3 linked regions of the Drosophila melanogaster genome follow. The gene in region 2 interacts genetically with the main gene of each other region. Each region holds a gene or a part of one and is shown on either strand. Other genes may lie near its edges. The genes, in order: Tm2, up and Act88F.

Region 1 (3,760 bases), on a different chromosome or scaffold from region 2:
GCGGCTACGCCGAGCATTCTCAAAAGATCTCACGTAATTTTCATTTTCCATTTTCAAAACGCCCACTCAAAATCCGAATCCGGATCCGTCGGTGAGCTATATGTTTATATGTTTATTTGCTGCACGATTCGGTGGGGTTAAAAATAAACTTTATATGCTTTTGCATGTGAGAAAAAAATATCCAGTCCACTCGCACACACACGCATAGGAGAAATGCTTTTTTGGACATTGTGTGCTAAATGTAATTCTAGAGTTTCCCCCTATTATTTCGAAATACCCCACATATATATGTACATAGCTCGCCACCGATTGCAATTTGAAAAGTATTCAATTCTTTGGGGTCATTTGGTGTGTGGGCGTATTCGTATTCGAATTCGTGTATCTATGTTGCTACCACCCAAAGTGGGGCAAAGTCATTTATGTTGTAGTTGCTGATCTTTTGGAGGTCTTGCGATACTCATGTGTGTTTTGTACCCAAAAAAACATAAGCAATGTTTAATATGTGATTTATGAGGTAAAAAGGATTTCTTTCTAAAGACTTTAAATAACTTATAATATGTTAAATAGCTACTTAGTTTTCACATCATTAAAATTTTTGGTGATTGCCAAAGGTACTTGGGCTTTCAATCAGTTCGAATATGTATCTTAAAGATGGCAAATTTTGCGGCCTTCGGACGCATTCACGAATGGCTAGAAATATTCGCTCTGAAATCTACAATTCTGTGTGGGTGGCTATGCCTTGAATATATATATTCCCAGATAGATACCATATGTATCCGCATCTGGGAATCGTCTACGTCTCTAATATTTTCCAAAATATCTCTCTCGAAAACAATCTCAAGGATAAATACCTATAGTTCTCGACTGCCTTCGTTTTCTGAGATCACAGAAAGCTAGACGGAAAAGCTTTTTCGTATAAATTTCAGGCAGAGTTAAAAATAAATGCGTATGTCTGTGTGTGTGTGACAGGCAGGTGTCTGTCTGCAGTTAATTTTAAAGAATTTTCTTCGAGGAAAACTTTATCGGTCGAGTGTGATTGTGTGTGTGAAAATTGTGCGTGCCATAAGTGTGTAAGGTGCATATGTATATGTGTCCCATTCGTGTAGAGCTTTCCGAATGAAGCTCATGTGTGTGTGTGCAAAAAAAAATTCTCTCACACACACACAGATATTTATTGGATGGTATTGGTGCCGTCAGATTTAGTTACAAAATTCCTTATAAGCGAATTTTGAAAATATCCGAAAAATGATCATAAGATCTCCATTTTCAAGTAGTTTAGATCGTTCATTTTAAGTTTTTTAGAGATATTCATTTTTTTAGTTATAGCAATTTTCACTTCCATTACATTTGGATCACTCATTTAACTTTTTGTAGAACTTTATATCCAGGCTAATTGACACATATACATATGCACATTTTATTTAAGTTTAACAAGGTTTTCCTTTTTTTTCCCGTTTGGGGAAAATTCAAAATTTATAATTTTGAATGCCATGCACTTATCACAATTTTGTTATCCACTCGAAATCCAGTTGAAAATACCAATTTGGTTAGCAGCAAAGGCGAGCGATTTAATTATATTTATTTTGAGTTAATTCTTGTCGGGTGAAAATCCTGGCGTGACCAACCTTAGCGTTTCAAACACACTATACGCTGTCGAAACCCCGAGAACACTGATGCTGACCAAGTTGCTTAGCCCAGAAAGCGACCCCAAGATCCAACGCACACGCACACTGCCACTCGGAAAATCGGAAAAACTCACACACACTGAGGGCACACACCAACGCGGTATTGAATAATTTCTCGCCTCAAAAATTTCCCATTAATAAATGTATATGTGGAATGGCGCTTTCGCAACTTTGCTCGGCGATCTCGAAAATTTCCCTCGAAATTTCCCCCAAAAGCTGCTTCATACGATGCTCTCTCTTTTGGGCTGCATTCTCGTGAAATTTATGCGCTTTTCTTTCTGCTTCTTAAATCTAAATTCAATTTATATTTTACTCACAGCACTCTCGCTGTCTGTGTGTGTGCGTGTATCCGTCAGATACACGGCCAAAAATAGCCACAAGCAGCAAGAGCAAAAGTCCAACAAGATGAAAATCTATTTTCGCTCGGTAAAAAAATATTGAGAAATATTTGGAATTTTGATCGGCCAGCGTTTTCCTGCCGTTCTTTTGCTTTCGAAAGTCTCGAATGCAAGGCAATTGATCCGATTTTCTTGTGTGTTAATTGTCCCCGTTCGATTTTTTGCTAAAACAAAACCACTTAACTTACTATATAACTGAAGAATAAAATCTATAATTTATTTATTTTAATAACCAATTAAGTAACGATATGGAAAAATTGTTATCAAAACTCTAAACTAAGAAATTCTATAGATATATGTATATTTTTATATAGGTATATTTAAAAGATAAATATATATGGTGGGTTTTATTTATATGTCCGACCTCGCTAAATCCATTTAGCAATTCATCTCAAAATCCAGTTCAATTTTCTTCTTCTTTCAATATTTCTGTGACGTAACATCTTCTTTAATACTATTATATATCAAGAAGATTCCACCAAATGTCTCATAGTCTCTGGATTACACTTATATGTACTCCCGATCTTTTTATTCTCGTTCAGCAATAAATTTTACTTAAAAGCCAAACCTACATAAGTCAATAATATTGTGCACTTTATTTATAGACTTTTATAACTTCAAATTTTAGTTGATTTATAGCTCTTCTTGATTTAGGAAAATGTTTGAAACTTCATATTTTCAAAACTGTTCAAAAACAACTAATTGGCGAGCAAACGTATTCAGTTTTCAAATTCGATTTTTCAAAACCCTTCTTCTTTAAGCTTATTTTAAACTTTTTTTATATATGTAGCTCCAAAGAATATTTAATGTTGAGTTAAAATATCACACATGTGACAAATATGGTTATTCCAACACAAATAAAAACATCCTATAAGTTTTGGGATATAAGCATGATTTGATTTTGATTTCAATATTAACTTTTAATAAGGATACACAATATTCCGGCAGATTGAAACCAACAGGACACTTTATGTCCTTTATATTCGATTCATGATCAGTGCATATTTTTATTATTTAACTAATGCAACCCACCGTTTAAATAAAAAATCCATGAAATTTTTTATATGCAAAAGAATGATTTCAGTTTATTGATCGTAAAAATATTGAGTTGAAAAAGAAAAATACATACATTGTTATATTTGTTTTGCACGCTTCATAGAATTACAAAAGCTATGACAAATGTGTAAATTTAATTTATATGTCTTCGTTTATATATTCTAATAATATATCTCCTATTCTTGTTGTTTAAACATATACAAAGGCCATAGAAATTTTGTAGATACACTTCGCGAACTGCCATAAAAACACACAAGCAACAGAAAGTTGAGAAAAATTGACTCTGGCTTAAGCGTAACTGAGTTTTTTATTTGAAGATGCTGATTAACGATATTGAGTGGTGGGCTTTCTGGGGTTTTGTATTCAAAATATTACACATACTTTTTCGAGCTGGAATTTTAGTTTCAAGGAAAATGGCAGCGTTTCTTTTCGTTACACAACTCGTTTTAACTTTAGGCTCCATATAAATTTCAATAGTAATTGCTAAAAATGTATTTTTTACTTTATTGTAAAACTCTTGCTCTTATGTAAGAAAGTTGTTTTTTTTTTGGGAATGCTTAGGCGAAGAAGTGTTATGCTAAAAATAATTTGTAATTCGGACGTCGAATGCGTTCGGACTCC
Region 2 (3,760 bases):
AAAAATAAACGATAAATTCCGTACGCTCTGCTCTAAAATTATTTAATTTCCCATGCTATCTATATCCACAATCTATAACTGTGTGTGTGCGAAGGAGAGAGTCGTAGTCCAATCTATGTATGTGTGTTTTTTCATTTTCCTCCGATTTTTTCTCAATTAAAAATAGACTTTGGGGCAGTATTGAATTTCCCGAGAGCCGAAAGCTTCCGAAAACATCAAAAAGCTTCGGACAAAGCCTTTTTTGAAAATTTTCGTTTTTTTTTTTACCTTGGCACTAAATCGGAAAATCTAAAGAAGCTTTTCAATTTATATATGTATATGTATTGATATATATTTGGGCGTACTTGTGTGTAATGAAAAGAAAATCAAATCAAATGCCATTCATAGATCGCCTGTATATATCTATGCCAGTTATTATGCCACGAATTTATATATTTAATATGCTATTTGAAATTTCTATGATTATGAATATTCTATTTCTATAATCTTTGCACTTTTGCGTGGAAGTGCAATTGCTGAGCTTGTATTTTTAGCCTTAGATAAACTGGGTCAGTTTTGGGGCAAGTGCTTGGAAATGATGTGAAATGTATTGAGAAAAGTTCTGGAAAAATTGAACAAACTTTTCAATTGAAACTGGTAATGATCTAAATATCATCCGACAGACTATCAGAAATATACGTCTATCGTCTTTTCACACTTACATATACAAAAATGTTACTGATCATACATGTTAGTTTCAAAAACATGGTTTTGAATCTTACTTTTTGTCTTTTCAAGTTCAAAGTTTGAGTAAGTGTTAGCTACTTCCTGCCTAGCAACATAAAACTGTCATATGCTGTTTTTATATCCTGTCATTATATCCTTATCGAATTTACTCTACAAATTTCCCTTTCTTTAATTCAATCTATCTGTGCCCTGTTTCCATTTATAGTCCTATATATATCCTCCAAAAATCTCCAGATCTCTATTCGCCATCGATCTTGTGTGGGTGGCTATAGTTCCGTCTCGTTTTCGCCTACTATATCTTTAACATATCTGATCGGCGCCTGCGCGGAAAGCTATTGAAAAAAGTTTTCACTCTACGTATCTGTGTGTGTGTGTTTCTCTGTGTGTGTGTGTGTGTGTATCTTGGACATTTTGCCAAGGTAAAAACACACTCGCTCGCGCACACATACGAATCGAATTTATTTTTAAAATTCGTCGAAAAAAATTTGAGAACTTTTCCTCTCAGATCATATAACACTTTCAGAAAGCAAAAAGATATACATATATGTATATGTATATTTATATGTATAGATTCCTGTCTGGCATTGTTGTTGCTTTTGATTTTGTTGTTGTTGTTGCTGCTGCGGCTAATCCTGTTGTTGTAGTTGCCGTTGAATATTGTTTTTGGCGCCGCCAATGCCTGGGCGAATTTTTTCAAATTATTTTTAGCCTTTAGCCATAATAAAAAAAAAAAGTTTAAAAAAAAAAAATTTTTTGAAAAAGTTGGCTTCAGAGTTCGTTTTTTTGGTGGCTTTCAAGTCATTTATTCGCACTATTTGTTCGTAGATTGCACTTTAAAAAAATTTCAAAAAAAAAAATAAAATGTTATATAACACTAGGATTTTCCAATTCGTAACTTTCTTTTGTTGATGTTCGTGGTTCGTGGTTTATTCGCAAAGGATTCGGTTTTCTCGTTTTCGATAACTTTCTTTTCGTTTTTAGGCACACAAGTTTATTTTATATTTTCTTTTTATTTTTTTGGTGATGCAGCATTTGAAGGAGATGTGAAGCAGCAGTAGAGCAGAAACAGAAAAAAAAAAACTTACTTAGGGAGAAAAACAAATTGAATTGAAGTCCGAGCAGCTGACGTCGTAGGAGCGAATGCTGCGGTTCGACTAACCAAACTGACGATGAAAAGCGCTGCTACACGTTATGTTAAAGAATTTTTCGTCGCGTTCGCGGAAAAGCCATTTCCACGCACACACCGATCGCCTTTCTATATAGCCAATAGCTGGCCATGTGTGCGAGCAGGCCAGCGCTATATGCCACATATCGCTGGCCGATGTGGCAACAAGTGGGTGGTGGTGGGTGCGCCTGCCTGTGTTGGCTGTGTTCGATGTGTTTTGGGTGAATTTTTCAGGTGGGCTGCAGCTGAAACATAAACTTGTACACGCACACAGCCGCCGTCGAGTTTTCCAATTTTCCATTTTGGCCAGAGCGAGATGAGGCATACGATATTAGTATATACTATACATTAGACCATAATGGCGCACGCACATAACTAGATCATACAATAAGTATATAGCGCATACGGACGTTCGGTGCGTTGGCGGCATTTTACACATTTGTTTTTGGAATCAAATATCGTAGAGCATAAATTTCACAGCCATTAAAAAGTCGGCCTGCATATATTGCTCTATAATATATACGTACAGATGTTCGTGCCGATATATAGCACATATAGTTTGGATTCCTCAGCGGATCGTTGCAGCATTTGAACCCCAGAGTGCACGCCCTACAAAATCTCCAACCCAGTCCGCCGCGATCACCGATCACCCCCTATATATATATATATATATATATATATTTATTTACCTATATCTATATCGCGATCGAACTGCTGACGTCGAACGGCCTTAGGTGGCCCCATCGCATTGCCATTTGTCTAACACTTGAATCTATTCGTCATTGTTCCGATTTTCTTTTTTTATTTCTCTCCTTTTTCTATGCTATTTTTTTTATTTTACTTTCTAACAGATACTTTTGGCAAATAGTTTCAGATACACTTACGCGCCTTGCAGCACTTTAAGCTATCGAATTTAATTCATTCTTTATTGGGTTATTTTTTCGAAGCATACAAAATCAATTTGAAGAATTTGACAAAATCTCTTTTTCCTATATGTAAATTTTGCCAAAAAAATTAATTTTTTCATATCGTTTAATAAACATCATAACACATAAGAAATATTTGTATTAAGTAAGGGTAGTGAAACATATTTTGTTCTGTATTTAATTTTGTTTCTGTATTCTAGTATTAATAAAATTAAAATAAAGCAAAAACTTACAATATTTTAAAAATGTACTTTCATCAACATCGATTTCCGTTGTTTTTTTTTTTGCCAAATTTTTCATAAAATTAGATATAAATTCTAGAAGAATATAAAAAAAAAAAAAAATTTTTAGTTTTTCGCTTGCACTTGTATCTTCTTAAATTATTAATACTGCAAAAAAAAATATTTGGGCTATCTCAAAGTTCCTCAAAATCTGGGTAAAAATTTTTATACATACATGATTACATTATATATGATTACATTACATTATATTATGATTACATTACATTATATATGATTATAGAAAAATTAATTTAAGACTTCTCTTAATTCCTTGCATAAACAAGTTGTTCAAATAAATAGACTTCTGTGTAAATTAAAAACATGCGATGAATATTATTTTAAAATTATATATATTACAATATTCTCCAATAGTAAAATTACTATATAGTCGCAAAGTTTCGGCATTTGTTTTGATTTCGTTTTTGGTTACCAAGTATCTTAAATTTAGAACATTTTTGTATCTGCACCTCTGCGAAATGCAAAATGCACACACCAGATACGCAGATAGATAGATATGTATGCATAGATAATTAGATATGTATGTGTATGTGATATGTATGGGTCTAGGTATTATGCATGGCTTGCCAAAAACCACAAAACTACAGAATCGCAATGGGACACAGGTGGGCAGTTCGAGTTATCTGGGATTTAGTGCATGAAAT
Region 3 (3,760 bases), on a different chromosome or scaffold from region 2:
CGAGGTTGTTGGGTAGCTCGATGGGTGCTTGTTGGTCGCTGCTGGTTGCTGCCTTTGAAGAGCTTTCGCGGCGGGCGAAAGACTTAAAAGCATTTGCGGTGAACGATTCCGGGGCCGGACTCGTCGTACTCCTGCTTCGAGATCCACATCTGCTGGAAGGTGGACAGCGAGGCCAGGATGGAGCCACCGATCCAGACGGAGTACTTCCTCTCGGGTGGCGCAATGATCTTGATCTTGATGGTCGATGGGGCCAGGGCAGTGATCTCCTTCTGCATACGATCGGCAATACCTGAAAGTGCACCAAAGGATTAAGCACAAGTGCAACTGCTGAAGCGAATGATTTGTCTTACCAGGGTACATGGTGGTACCGCCGGACAGCACAGAGTTGGCATACAGATCCTTGCGGATGTCCACGTCGCACTTCATGATCGAGTTGTAGACGGTCTCGTGGATGCCGCACGACTCCATGCCCAGGAACGAGGGCTGGAACAGAGCCTCGGGGCAGCGGAAGCGCTCGTTGCCAATGGTGATCACCTGGCCGTCAGGCAACTCGTACGACTTCTCCAGCGAGGTGGAGGCGGCAGCGGTGGCCATCTCCTGCTCGAAGTCCAGAGCCACGTAGCACAGCTTCTCCTTGATGTCGCGCACGATCTCACGCTCGGCGGTGGTGGTGAAGCTGTAGCCGCGCTCCGTCAGGATCTTCATCAGGTAATCGGTCAGATCGCGACCAGCCAGATCCAGACGCAGAATGGCGTGGGGCAGGGCGAAGCCCTCATAGATGGGCACGGTGTGGGAGACACCATCGCCGGAGTCCAGCACAATACCGGTGGTACGACCGGAGGCGTACAGGGAGAGCACGGCCTGGATGGCCACGTACATGGCCGGCGAGTTGAAGGTCTCGAACATGATCTGGGTCATCTTCTCGCGATTGGCCTTGGGGTTCAGTGGAGCCTCGGTCAATAATACTGGATGCTCCTCGGGGGCCACGCGCAGCTCGTTGTAGAAGGTGTGATGCCAGATCTTCTCCATGTCGTCCCAGTTCGTGATGATGCCGTGCTCGATGGGGTACTTCAGCGTCAGGATACCGCGCTTGCTTTGCGCCTCGTCGCCCACGTACGAGTCCTTCTGACCCATACCCACCATCACACCCTGGTGTCGGGGACGACCCACAATTGAGGGGAAGACAGCACGGGGAGCGTCATCACCGGCGAAGCCGGCTTTGCACATGCCCGATCCGTTGTCGATAACTAATGCACCCGCATCATCGTCACACATCTTGGCAGTTGTTTATCTGGAAGGGAGATGGAAGTGCACTCGGTTAGCTCGATCTGTCGATTATATATGTAAAGTTTTATAGCTCCCACCTACATCTCAATTCTTTAAATTCTACTACTTTAATGACAACATAGAAAACTAATTTGTGTCTCAAGAAAATATTTAACTTTTTAAGATATTGAAGAAGTGAAGTGAAACTCTATTGTCCATTTGAGCACATTTCAGTAAATAAAACCATGAAAAATTGCCAAAATTGGTATATTCCATTTCCTTTTGACTCATGCTAATATGGTTATTCACTTGAAACTAAATCAGTGCTCTATAAATATCGGAAAAGAATAGTTCATAGAACTTAATTTAAACGTATCAAATTAATTGAAAATACGTTTCGTTGCAATTACTCTTCACTTTATATTTAGATATTGAACTTTCGAAGACCGATTAGTGACTTGTAGAAAAATCCATCAAACAATCCGAACTTATTAAAAAGAGTTTTAATATCCTTAGTCCTCTTGGCTTTTTCTGTAATAATCCTTGGATCCTTCGACATTGAGGTCGCACTCACACACCTTTTAGGTCAACGAAAGGAGAAAAATTGGATAGAGTCGCACGTTCGATTCCTGTTGACAACTAGATTCAACAACAAATGGCACGCCGATCGGTCTGTCCTGCCTTTATATCTCGGCTCTCCCTCGAAGCGATTTGAGTTGGATGCCAGTGCGGCACTGAGAAAAAGATTGAGCGAAAGTGCTGCGGAACAATCGATCCATATAAGCAGTTTTCAGACTTCTGGCCGAGCATGTCAGAAGTTTGGATGCCTCATTGCACGAAGACGACTCATTAATGCGCTTCACAAAAAAAGGAAGCCACACAATTAAATACTTAATAAAGCATAGAATCATTTATTAAGATTACCAATAAATTCAATAAACGAGGGAATTTCCAAACTACGAAAATATGACATTTTATATTTTTTTCACATTGTTAGTAGGTACAAATCCTAGAAAAGGGTCTCATAACATATAACAGCTTAAATAACTATGTAGTAGAAGATAAACTTTATCTTCAATTCAGTTCATATTTAATCCTAGAAATATTTAATTAATTGACAATATATGATAGAAGTAAGCTATCAATCTTAGGACCCTATTCATTATTTGTAGGGAGTGCCAGGAGAGAGAAAGCTCTCGAAAGATAAGAGAACGCCATAGCCGAGTGATTAGCAGAGGTGCGTGATAGTCGGAGCATGGGCCATCTAAACGGCAATCAGCACTCTCGAGTGGCCAATTAGCCCCATCTCCGTCCCCATCTCTGTCCCAATCCTGCTGCCAATGGGCGACTGCTGCGGCGGACGACTCATTCGGTGCTGAGAGTTCGGAAAATAGAAACGGACCTTAGAAGGACCGACGCAAGACAATTGGCATCCGCGGCAGGGACTGGGAGAATGGGACATTTCAACGGGCACGCAGCGAGGCGAATCTAAAATAGACGCGCCAAGCAGAGCGGCACCTATAAATCAACATCAAGGTTGATCGAGATCTCCGCGCGCGGTGCTCGAGGAAGCTGCATCCACATTTGCAATCGCATTCTACAGAATGCTGCTGCACTTTGCATTGCGGCGCCGATGCAATCCCGAAGATGCGAAATCACCGTGCCGACCATTTATCAGTGCAATTAACCAACCATTGCCAGCCAGACCGAGCGAAAATGTATTTTCTCAATCGAACTGTATTTATCCTTTTATGTAGATTTAATTATTTTTTACTTCTTTCTATTTACGTTTTTATTGCTTGCCCACATGAATAATCGAATGCGGTTGGTCTAAAGATAGGATCTGATTGCTCGGAAGTGAATTGGTGGCATTCCCAAAGCGTTTTATTTGGTAATTGCCTTGATTGACATCGTGTATTGAGCAAGAGGTTAGTGGCTGCGAACAGAATTGTTCACCATTCTTATCTTTATTTTTTAATTTATGAAAAGTCATTCAACCACTGAATTGATTGGGCTCACCATTTATTTAAAAATTCATATCTTAACTAAATTTGCCTATTGTGCATTCTAGATATTTCTGAATTATACTTTTATTTCGGCAAATTGATATAATTGTGAAAAATATTTTAGAAATTTAAGTGTTTTTTTAAAAATTACACTTCTACTGCACACTTTTGTTCTCTTTCTATCGAAAGATAAATTAGTAATTAATTAATTTAATTACTATAACATTATGTAAACATCGTTAAATATTTGTATACCTATTTGTACGGTTTCAGGAATAATTTCTATTGGATTTGTATTGATGTACGTAAGAATTTCCCACGATTTATTTATTTGAATATTTCGTAGTCGAGACAAGAACCATAAACTAAAAGCATGCAAGTCTTAGCATACTTTTCGGCTGAAGTAAAAGCCAATCATAGATGGCGCTGTAATGCACAGCGAATGGTCTTTCACTTAACAGCATTTAAACGAGTTTATGATTTTCTAT

Evidence for each region.
Region 1: of up (region 2) and Tm2, changing one suppresses a phenotype caused by changing the other (phenotypic suppression), as found in Drosophila melanogaster (one study listed by BioGRID).
Region 3: of up (region 2) and Act88F, changing one suppresses a phenotype caused by changing the other (phenotypic suppression), as found in Drosophila melanogaster (one study listed by BioGRID).

What each region holds. Positions count from the first base shown.
Region 1 is NT_033777.3:15,308,165-15,311,924, reverse strand, and holds the start of Tm2 (tropomyosin 2), read right to left. Parts: upstream 1,681-3,760; 5' UTR 1,626-1,680; intron 1,249-1,625; exon of another isoform or gene 852-1,248; intron 1-851. UniProt on the Drosophila melanogaster protein: Tropomyosin, in association with the troponin complex, plays a central role in the calcium dependent regulation of muscle contraction. May also regulate motor systems required to maintain nuclear integrity and apico-basal polarity during embryogenesis.
Region 2 is NC_004354.4:13,600,607-13,604,366, forward strand, and holds the start of up (upheld), read right to left. Parts: upstream 1,973-3,760; 5' UTR 1,812-1,972; intron 1,760-1,811; exon of another isoform or gene 1,623-1,759; intron 1,049-1,622; exon of another isoform or gene 762-1,048; intron 1-761. UniProt on the Drosophila melanogaster protein: Troponin T is the tropomyosin-binding subunit of troponin, the thin filament regulatory complex which confers calcium-sensitivity to striated muscle actomyosin ATPase activity.
Region 3 is NT_033777.3:15,438,131-15,441,890, reverse strand, and holds the start of Act88F (actin 88F), read right to left. Parts: upstream 1,923-3,760; 5' UTR 1,845-1,922; intron 1,292-1,844; 5' UTR 1,276-1,291; coding exon 351-1,275; intron 290-350; coding exon 84-289; 3' UTR 1-83.